Drosophila melanogaster: one gene and its partner. The protein of the gene in region 1 interacts with the protein of each later gene in a pairwise test. Each region holds a gene or a part of one and is shown in the gene's direction. Other genes may lie near its edges.

What was found.
Region 2: the proteins of slmb (region 1) and SkpA interact in a two-hybrid assay, tested with the Drosophila melanogaster proteins (3 studies listed by BioGRID).

What each region holds. Positions count from the first base shown.
Region 1 is NT_033777.3:21,124,362-21,129,651, reverse strand, and holds the start of slmb (supernumerary limbs), read left to right. Parts: upstream 1-2,166; 5' UTR 2,167-2,657; coding exon 2,658-2,714; intron 2,715-4,267; coding exon 4,268-4,490; intron 4,491-5,290. Other genes in the region: Obp93a (Odorant-binding protein 93a), read left to right, coding at 1-33, 90-224, 292-448, 503-702; CG5793 (uncharacterized protein), read right to left, coding at 759-1,100, 1,159-1,305, 1,435-1,531, 1,598-1,674.
Region 2 is NC_004354.4:654,388-658,717, forward strand, and holds SkpA (SKP1-related A), read left to right. Parts: upstream 1-1,726; 5' UTR 1,727-2,397; exon of another isoform or gene 2,398-2,711; 5' UTR 2,712-2,722; coding exon 2,723-3,211; 3' UTR 3,212-3,512; downstream 3,513-4,330.

The sequences.
Region 1 (5,290 bases):
ACAAGCTGCGATCACGCAAAGCAGCCAAAGTTTGTATGAAAACTTCAAATAAAATCGTGTTTTTATTACTACAACTGAATATTTGGCAGTTGAGCTCATGCTGTGATGTTCAAAAAAACGACAAGGCCATCAATTCGTGTCGCAAGTCCTTGCTGGGCAATAATTCAACCAATTCGAATGGGGAAGTGCGCAATCTTAAGTCGGATAAAGTGGCTTTGCATGCAGTAAGTATCGCTCTAAAATATATCATTTTAAAACTGGCTTTACTCTTGGGAAACGTGTAATCCTCAGTGTATTGCGGAGTGCTCCTTCAGGACCAATGGATTCTTGTTGAGCAATGGCACTGTTAATACCCAGGCATTGCAGAAGAGCTATCAGCAACGCTACAAAAACGATCCGAATATGTCGCAACTGATGTTGAAGAGCCTCAATAGTTGCACGGACTACGGTGAGTTAGCATACGAAAGTTTTTTTCTACTTAATAATGGTTAATTCTAAATAGCTAGGAAGCGGGTGCAGGAGTTCCAATGGATGCCCAAGAAGGGCGACTGCGACTTCTATCCTGCCACCTTGCTGGCCTGCGTCATGGAAAAGGTCTACATCAACTGCCCGACCAGCAAATGGAAAAACACCAGCGATTGCACAGCGATGTGGAAATATTTGGTTGCCTGTGATGATGTGGCCAGTAATAAGAAGAAATAGCCATTGCACATATCCAATTATATCCGAATATAGCATCAAAATTAAATTCTTCACTTTTATTCAGCCTCCACTTGGAAGGTCAATTTAGCGAGATCGGCCATTCCACACTGAATTACATCGCCTGCCTTGAACGCATCGGCACCATTGGGCGTTCCGGTAAGGATCAGATCGTTGGCCTCCAGGGTCATGTACTTGGACACGTAGGAAATGATGTCGGGCACCTTGAATATTAAGTCTGCAGTGCACCCGTTTTGCTTAAGGTCTCCATTGACGGTGAGCCAAAGCGGCAAGTTGTGCGGGTCCGTCACTTTTTCGATGGGTATAAACTGGGACACGGGCGTAGAAGTATCAAATCCCTTGCCCAAGGTCCACGGATGACCGGCCGCCCGAGCTGGTCCCTGAAATTGATTATTGATTACAACAATGGCTCTTGATTGAGTGCATCCATCTTCTTACCAAATTGCACTGGGCAGTTAGATCCAAAGCCAGGCAGTATCCTGCCACATAGCTCATGGCATCTGCCTTGGATACGTTCTTGCAGGGCTTTCCAATCACCACGCCTAGTTCCACTTCATATGCCACCTTGGTAAAGACTTTTGGTAACTGGGGGAATACAAAGTTTAAATCACAAGAGGGATTTTCAATTTCCATTCGTTTACTCTCCAGTTTATGGACTTTTGCTATCTTGCTACTATCTTAATGTTATCTTAATTAATTCTCTGTAGAACTCACCACAATGGGCTGACCCTCCTGGAGGTACGAAGATGTGGGCTTGAGGAAGACGAGCGGCTCCTTGGGCACGGGAACGTTCCTGGCCAGCACAACGTCCCTGCGACGGAAGAAAGTATTCGTGGATTACCCATGCAGACCCAAGATTACTATGACACTGAGTTACATGTAATTGAGAGCCACCCCCACAATTTTCTTGCCATTGCTCAAGAAGTTGGCGGCATTTTGGTTTTGGCACGCCATCCTGAGGATTTGAGTTAGTTGCACTGTGAATTTGAAAAAAAATGTGTATTGTAGCTCGATTATGAATGCTCAAGGAAATGATTAGAATGGGAACAGCTCTGCGGTCGAATGAAAGTGAGCATTCGGCGAGCTGGACGGCACTTACTTGCGCAATATTTATTAATTTAAAAGTGGGGGGTTATCTGGAGAGTGGCCCCCCGCAACAAGTTTATCAATTAAATAACAACAGAAAACGGAGAGAGCGATCGAGAAATCAGCTGATATGGATGTGCAGAGTTGTCAGAGCTGGCAAAGTGTGTTGGGTAGCCATACAATGCTTACAATTCATAGCTCTGAAAGGGAAATAACTTAAAAACATTTCATAAATAGTTGTAATTGCAACAACCTGTTCGAAAATTTAGAGCAGAAACGACGAAATTGTGTGCTCTTGCCGTATTTTGCAGCACTGGCCCGTGGCAGTGTGACCGTTCATATATGTGACAGATATCGATAACGATAGTGCACACTCATCTTTGGCTTTGTGGTTTCGCAGTCCGTATTTGGGCGAGATCTGGTAAAAAAAAATAAAATTCTCCGTGTGAAAAGTGAGTGTCCAGTAGTTGGCGTCATCTGAATAAGCAAAAACAAACAACGTGCAAGCCGCCAGGAGCGGTGAGAATAATGACTTGCATACGACATTCGCTCAATTGGTGAGGGACCTCGGCAAGTTGAGTTTGCCTTTGCCATCGCGTTCGCCTCGCCGTTTTCGCGCATCCCGCCTGCGGTCCTACAGAAACCGAGACGAGCAAATTGTAATTTTCCTTCGACCTAAAAATTATATGAAATCGCTGGCGAAAAGCGATTTGCGAGACGTGTTAACGAAAAATCAGCGAAAAACGCTACGTGGTGCGTGAGTGCGAGTGCGACGGAAAACTCTGGCAGTGAGCGAGTGAGAGAGAAGCAAACGACGAGCCAGTAAACTCTACAAACACACAAACAACACAATGATGAAAATGGAGACTGACAAAATAATGGACGAAACCAACTCCAATGCACAGGCCGTGAGTTTTCGCTAAGTTACCTGCTTTAAGCGGGATCTCTGCCCTTCTAAATGCATTAAACACACCGATTTAAGTACATATTGCCCAAGGTGTCGCCTCAATAGACCCACACACATACACACACACAGGGGCACGCACACCTACGCCACCTATGCGTGTTGTCACACACTGGTGTGCGTGTGCTAGTGCTTTATTTTCGTATATACTACAGATTTTGCACTCGTGCACTCTATTAAATTCGGACACTGTGGCACATAGCCATCCCATGGGCTATAACCTTAAACTCTTGTGGATATTAGACATTAGCCTACTTATTCATCGCCAGCATCATCATCATCATCCCCTTTGTTCAATTATCGTTGCATATATATGTATATATCCCCAATCTCCGGTTTTCGAGTCTTAAGATTTCGTTAATTGGCCTCGAGTTTGTGTACACAATTAATAACAAACGCTGTGCACAAAGTACGGCCGTGTACATTTCAATCAGTACTTATTTAATTGTGGAGCTATATACGATAGGCGGCTTACTGAAGGTCAGTTCGCGTAAAACCATCGAGTAATGGGCCAAAAAAATCGTTTTTTATTTTCAATTTTTTCGCTCGGTTTCGCTTGAGTCATCTGGGCTTTAATTTCGCCGGATTCAAGGTGGAATCTGGTTAATGAGACAGATGGCTTCTTGGTAATAGCAGCGAAACACAAACGAGATATTATTAACTATCAATTAGAGGATATATACATTCATATTGCTTATTGCCACAAACCTTTCTCATAGCATAATCAGTGCATAGTTTAAGTAGCATCCTTCAGCTCAAAGTTACCAGGCAAAGGCAAACAACTAAAGCTTACAAAAACCATAATACGGCAATTAAATTAAGGCAACCGACCCGAATACAACTTAGTATGTTTGTACATACATATTCACAACATTTACTACAAATACTGGCAAGGTTTTCGCATTGCTGGCATTGCAGTTAACTTAATTACTCAAATCACTCACACTCGAATCGACCAATTTGTTTACTTCACGCCGATAAAATTGTTTGCCGAGATCTTTAGCGTTTAATTGATGACGTTTGATTTAATTGGGGCCCATCAATGGGTATGTCTATATATAGAATGCGCATAATGAGCATGGAAGACCAAATAAACATCGATACAATTATTATTTATAAACTGGCCGTGTGAATGATCTGTTTCTACCGCTGCGCTGCCAGTCGCGTTTTTCATTCTTCAGAAATCCGCTTTGCAAACTCTTTCGCCGCCGAATAAAAAAAAAATGAGAAAAATTACGAATAGAAAGAAACGCTCAGCGTAGTCGAAGCTAATTGCCTAATTTTAAGCCCCCAGTTTGGGTCGTCGGTAGCCTAAACTAAAGAAAAGTTGCACAACCAGCAGCTACCTACTTTTCCAGTTTTAACGATCGCCCCTTGACATCGAAGCACCCCATAACACATCATCGTCGCCCCACAACAACAACAACAACAACAAAAACGAAACAAATGCAATCTCATAATTAATTTGCTTCTTTATGCCACTTTTCACCCATACAGTTCACAACCACTATGCTGTACGACCCGGTGCGCAAGAAAGACTCATCGCCCACCTACCAAACGGAGCGGGAACTCTGCTTTCAGTACTTCACCCAGTGGAGCGAGTCGGGCCAGGTGGACTTTGTGGAGCACCTGCTGTCGCGCATGTGCCACTATCAACACGGACAGATCAATGCCTATCTCAAGCCGATGCTCCAGCGGGACTTTATCACATTGCTGCCAAGTGAGTGCCTGCCGATACACTGGCTATTGCCACCTGAGTCCAGTCGAAGTGGAGAAATAACTTCCGTTCATACAGATTGATATATTACGTTCACAACAAAGTATTAGGCCAAGACTGTAAACTGTAACATGTTAGCCAACGACTATGAAAATATGAACGTTAAAAATGCAGTTTTAGCTGTGGATTCAATAGTGGTTATTCTACAAGTGAGGAAATGATGAAGTGGTATATCATATATTAATCTGCATTTTTGAAGCTGTTAGATCTATTCCTAAATATTATAAATATTGAACGGATAAATTAGTCATGCTAAGTCATTCCAAGAACGTGATTTATAACCCAGTTGTTATCAACAGCATGCTTTGTATGGGAAGGTCAGTAATCCCAGTTGACCAATAGAGAAACCAATTCACGCAGCCGATAAGAAGGCAATAACAGCTGTTAGGGTGCGAATTCCACCATCGGAGTTTGACCGTTTTCCTCCTAAAATGAAGGCTCAGAAATGGCTCATCCACCATTAGAATCTCAGGCGAGTCTAGCAGCACAAAGCTGAGTTTAAGCCCTCGACACACGCAATTGGCGAAACAATAACAAACTGCAGGTACAAAGTTGAACAACATGAAAGGCAAGCCGCGCTCTGAACCCGGTGCGATTCGTTCCGCGTCCCCCGACAGACACCCTTGCTCCTCCGGATTGTTGCCGGGCATGTTTCCAACTGTTGGAGTGGAGAGGAGCCCAGAGGAGTAGGAGGAGGTGAAGCCAGTGGGTGGGCTTTAGGTTGCTGGTTGTTGGCTGTTGAC
Region 2 (4,330 bases), on another chromosome or scaffold:
GATGACTTGCAATAATCCTCAATCCGCAAACCATATGTTCCGGCATTTTGCCAATATATTCGCTCCGTTGAAAATGGCCCTAATTTAGTTTTTATTCCTACGGCTTCGCGTTTGAAAGAGAGAGAGAGAGACCGAGAAAGAGGGGGCTTGTAACTGATGTCGTCGACAGCCATCCCTCTCGCTCGCACTTATTCCAAGCCCTTTTAGCCCATGCACACACACGTTTAACAAAAATCAATTAACTTGAAAGCACATGTAAAAAAAAGTATTGATCCACAAAAAACAAAAGGCACTTCGGTAATCCTGGAATACACACACTTACTGCCGAAAATATTTAAAATGAATGGGTACGCGTATATATTTATATGCTGGTGAACAAAAGGCGAGCATAACAAAAATGTCTTATCGATTTGCATGCGCAGCAGACAGTAATTGCAAATCTTGTATTTTCTTGAGTCTGTGCAACAACTGAAATACCTTTCTGGGCATAAACTATCATAAACACAAGTGGGTGGTGCTGGGAAACATCGCTGGAATTGAATATTTGTTTGTTGGTCGATTTGTTCTGAATGGAAACGAATGTCGTTTGCAAATTGCTCTCTCAGCTGTTTACAAACGCATACCACATAACGCAGGTGAGAGAGAGAGGGAGGCATATGCGCAGTGAGAATGGAAGATGAAGGGTTGCCAAGTGCGCAAAGGCTTGCAAATTAAGTACACTTGTGTGCGGGGTAACCGAAAAACGGGTGTTTACAATAAATTTCGCTGGGTGGATGTAGCTTTGTAATTTGAGTTCGCCAATTTTTTTTGTTGTTAACAGCATTTCGAAGCGGTTGCCAACCCTAGACGCTGGCTGGTTGCATGGTAACGAAAAATGGCGGCGCCTGTTACACACACTCACACACACATGCACGCACAGTCTGCTGTGTTTATGCACTTCATGCTGTTCCGATTTTTTTTTTGCACTTTTTCGATTTGTTGTCTGCATTTACCTTAAATGAATTTATTAACTAAGGCGATATTGTGCCTCTCGCTCAATCTCGCAAAACGATGCTTTGTCTGCTGCTTCTCTGTGCGTGTGTCCGTCTCTTTCCACGGCTTTTCGTCGAGACTCACATATACAAACGGCGACACACTGGATTGGAGCTGGACTCCGTTTTGGATGGCTTGGCTTTGGCTGCGTACCCAAAATAAATCGCGCTTGCAGTCCCAAATCATTTTAGTTCTTGACGCCTTTGTTCCACAAAAACTTCCAACCGCCGTCCATGGCTCGTGCTTTCTCTTTCGCTCGCGAGACGCTCCAAAAGTCGCGAGTATGGGAAGAGAATGTATCCCTCGCTCTTTCACGCCTAGAAGCGGCTGTAGCACACACAAGCACACGTAAACCCAGCCGTATGCATATACATATATTCCCTCTACTAGCGAGACGTGTGTACGTGCGTATGTATGTATGCTTTTTTCACTTCTTTCTCCTCTGCGTTCTTTGCACCAAGTGTCGCTGTTGCTATTTGCTACCGCCGCTCCTCTTGACGAATAAGTCGGGACTTGTATCAGCTCTAATTCGGACTTAGTTTACAAAATGCGGCTGCTTTTTTTCCGCGATACTCGGATTAGTGATGTAAAAAGACGTTGATGCTTCGACCACTGAAGTCAGTGCGATATGTATCGATAATTGAATGCCATCGATTGCTACGATTAAAACTGCCACCGCAGTTAGCGGAGACGCTCACCATTCTCTATTCGCCATTTGAAAGTATCGGTGTAATTTGTTTTCAGAGAAATTAATTTCCGTTTACTGTGCAATTCGGTGTGAAAGTGTTCAGATTTATCAATGCGTATTCTGCTTTCGACTTCGCCACCAATCTGTGCTGCAAGTTACCATTACCAGGTCCACCTGGTTCCCGCCAGTTTTCTTTCATTGTGGCTAGTTGTTGTTCGTGCCTTCGATAAAGACGTTTAGAGGTGTTTTTAGAGTTTCGCCATCTGGTCACTATAGCCGTTTCGTTTTTTACGTGAGTATTGTGAATTTGGTGTGTTGATTTATATCTCAGTTGGAGCCTGCGTGGAAATAGTGTCAGTACGTTTAAAGGCATCATCGTAAGGTTAGTCGGAAAACAAATAAAAAGCCTACAAATAGCAAGCAAGAACGCTTTCGCAACCACAAGAAAAACGAACATACGCACGCATCCATCTGTGGTAGAGTCGGCTTGTGTGGGGGTGAGTGGATGTGTGGGTGAGCATTTCTGGAAAGTGCCGTTCTCTATGTTTCGATTCTACTTATCCCTTCATCACCATTTCATCGTTGAATCATCACGAAAGAAACATCGAAAGTGCACAATCGTTTGTTATCTTTGTACGAAAACAACGGTGATTTCCACACAGGCATAACCTGCAAGAGTAATACGATACAAATTTTGATCTGATATGACCTCATTTTAGTCGGTTTGAATTTTAAAGAGAGCGACTCTGCAAACTGCAGGGATATGAACATACAAAATTCACAAATGATTGTTTGCATCCTAGTTGCTTATATTCATTTACACGCATGCTTATATGCTTACATCTGTTATCAATAATTGACGACTTGGTGCATGCGAAGCAAACGCATTGAAATGACTATTGGGATCCACACACTGTTAAAAAACACACTGATTGCACTGCCACACATTTCTCAACTAGAACCTAATGTTTTATACTGAACTTAACTGCAGGAAAGCCCAAAATGCCCAGCATCAAGTTGCAATCTTCGGATGAGGAGATCTTTGACACGGATATCCAGATCGCCAAGTGCTCCGGCACTATCAAGACCATGCTGGAGGACTGCGGCATGGAGGACGATGAGAATGCCATTGTGCCGTTGCCCAATGTGAATTCGACGATTCTTCGCAAGGTGCTTACCTGGGCTCACTACCACAAGGACGACCCCCAGCCAACGGAGGATGATGAGAGCAAGGAGAAGCGCACAGACGACATTATCTCATGGGATGCAGATTTCCTAAAAGTCGACCAGGGCACACTGTTTGAGCTGATATTGGCAGCGAACTATCTGGACATTAAGGGCCTTCTGGAGCTCACCTGCAAGACTGTTGCAAACATGATTAAGGGAAAGACTCCCGAGGAAATACGCAAGACCTTCAACATTAAGAAGGACTTTTCGCCCGCCGAGGAGGAGCAGGTGCGCAAGGAGAACGAGTGGTGCGAGGAGAAGTAAAGCGCGGCATTTCGCGGGACCAACATTAAGTTGAAACAGCTAGGGGATTCGGGAACGAATTGGATTTGCAGCATTGCAACTTTACTTAGTTGCTACTTTCATTTACATTTTTTTTTATTTTTAACCCCAGCAGAGACTCGATTTAAATTGTGTATAAATGATCTGTTGCTGATTTGATTCGCGGGGTTCATTTTTTGTCGTAAATATATCTCATATACATACATATGCGAGATTGTAACACTCTCTTTAACCTATTGGAGTAACACTTGATTTCACTTTAATAAATATAACTACCCAACACAAAGACACAGCCTATTTTGTGGGCTTCCCGGAGGGGTTAGGGTCCAAGGACTTCTCAAATTAAGAAGTGCTCTTTATTCGTTATCTTGTGTTTAGAAACGTTTGCAAGCGTTTGAAATGGATACGCATGCCATTTATGGTCCAGTCGGTAAAATTTTACGTGTTCCCAAGAAGGTACATATATATCTTAGATTATCTTATCTATAGAAACTACATTCATAAGATCACGCTTTCGGCGAATAGCGAGTAATACTGTAGCTGCCACTTTGCCACTTAGTGTGCAATTGAAATGCGCGCCAACGCATGTTCTCATATGCGGAGCGTTTAGCAGCCCTTAAAAAGCTTTTCATGTTGCTTTTAAAAAGCTACGACGGGTGTGGAAATTAGATTTGTGACGCTTTATATATCTTTTTTTTATATCGTCTGGGGTACAGCATGGTTTTAGGATTTTAGAAGAAAGCAGTAATTTTGTAAGAATCGAAGAACGGGGGGATATTTATAATTTTCATATTAACCTTGTCTTTGTTTGCTTTTGAAATTATGAATACTTCGAAAGATAATTATCTTGTGCGCATTCCATTCTGGCTTAGACTGGGTTGAGCTAAAAATGATTTGAAATACAAATTTTTAGGTGTCCGCTGATATATAAACAGTATGATGTTTTTGCACTTTTTTCCCTGAAGTTTTCCTTGTTGTCTCGCTTGCCAATGCTGAACAAAGTAGCCAAAGGACCTTTACTTGAAGCTTTGAGAGCGGAAAATATATTCGGGGACAATTGCTTTAAGTGTGCACTAGGCTTGGCTAGATGCCCGTGCCAAA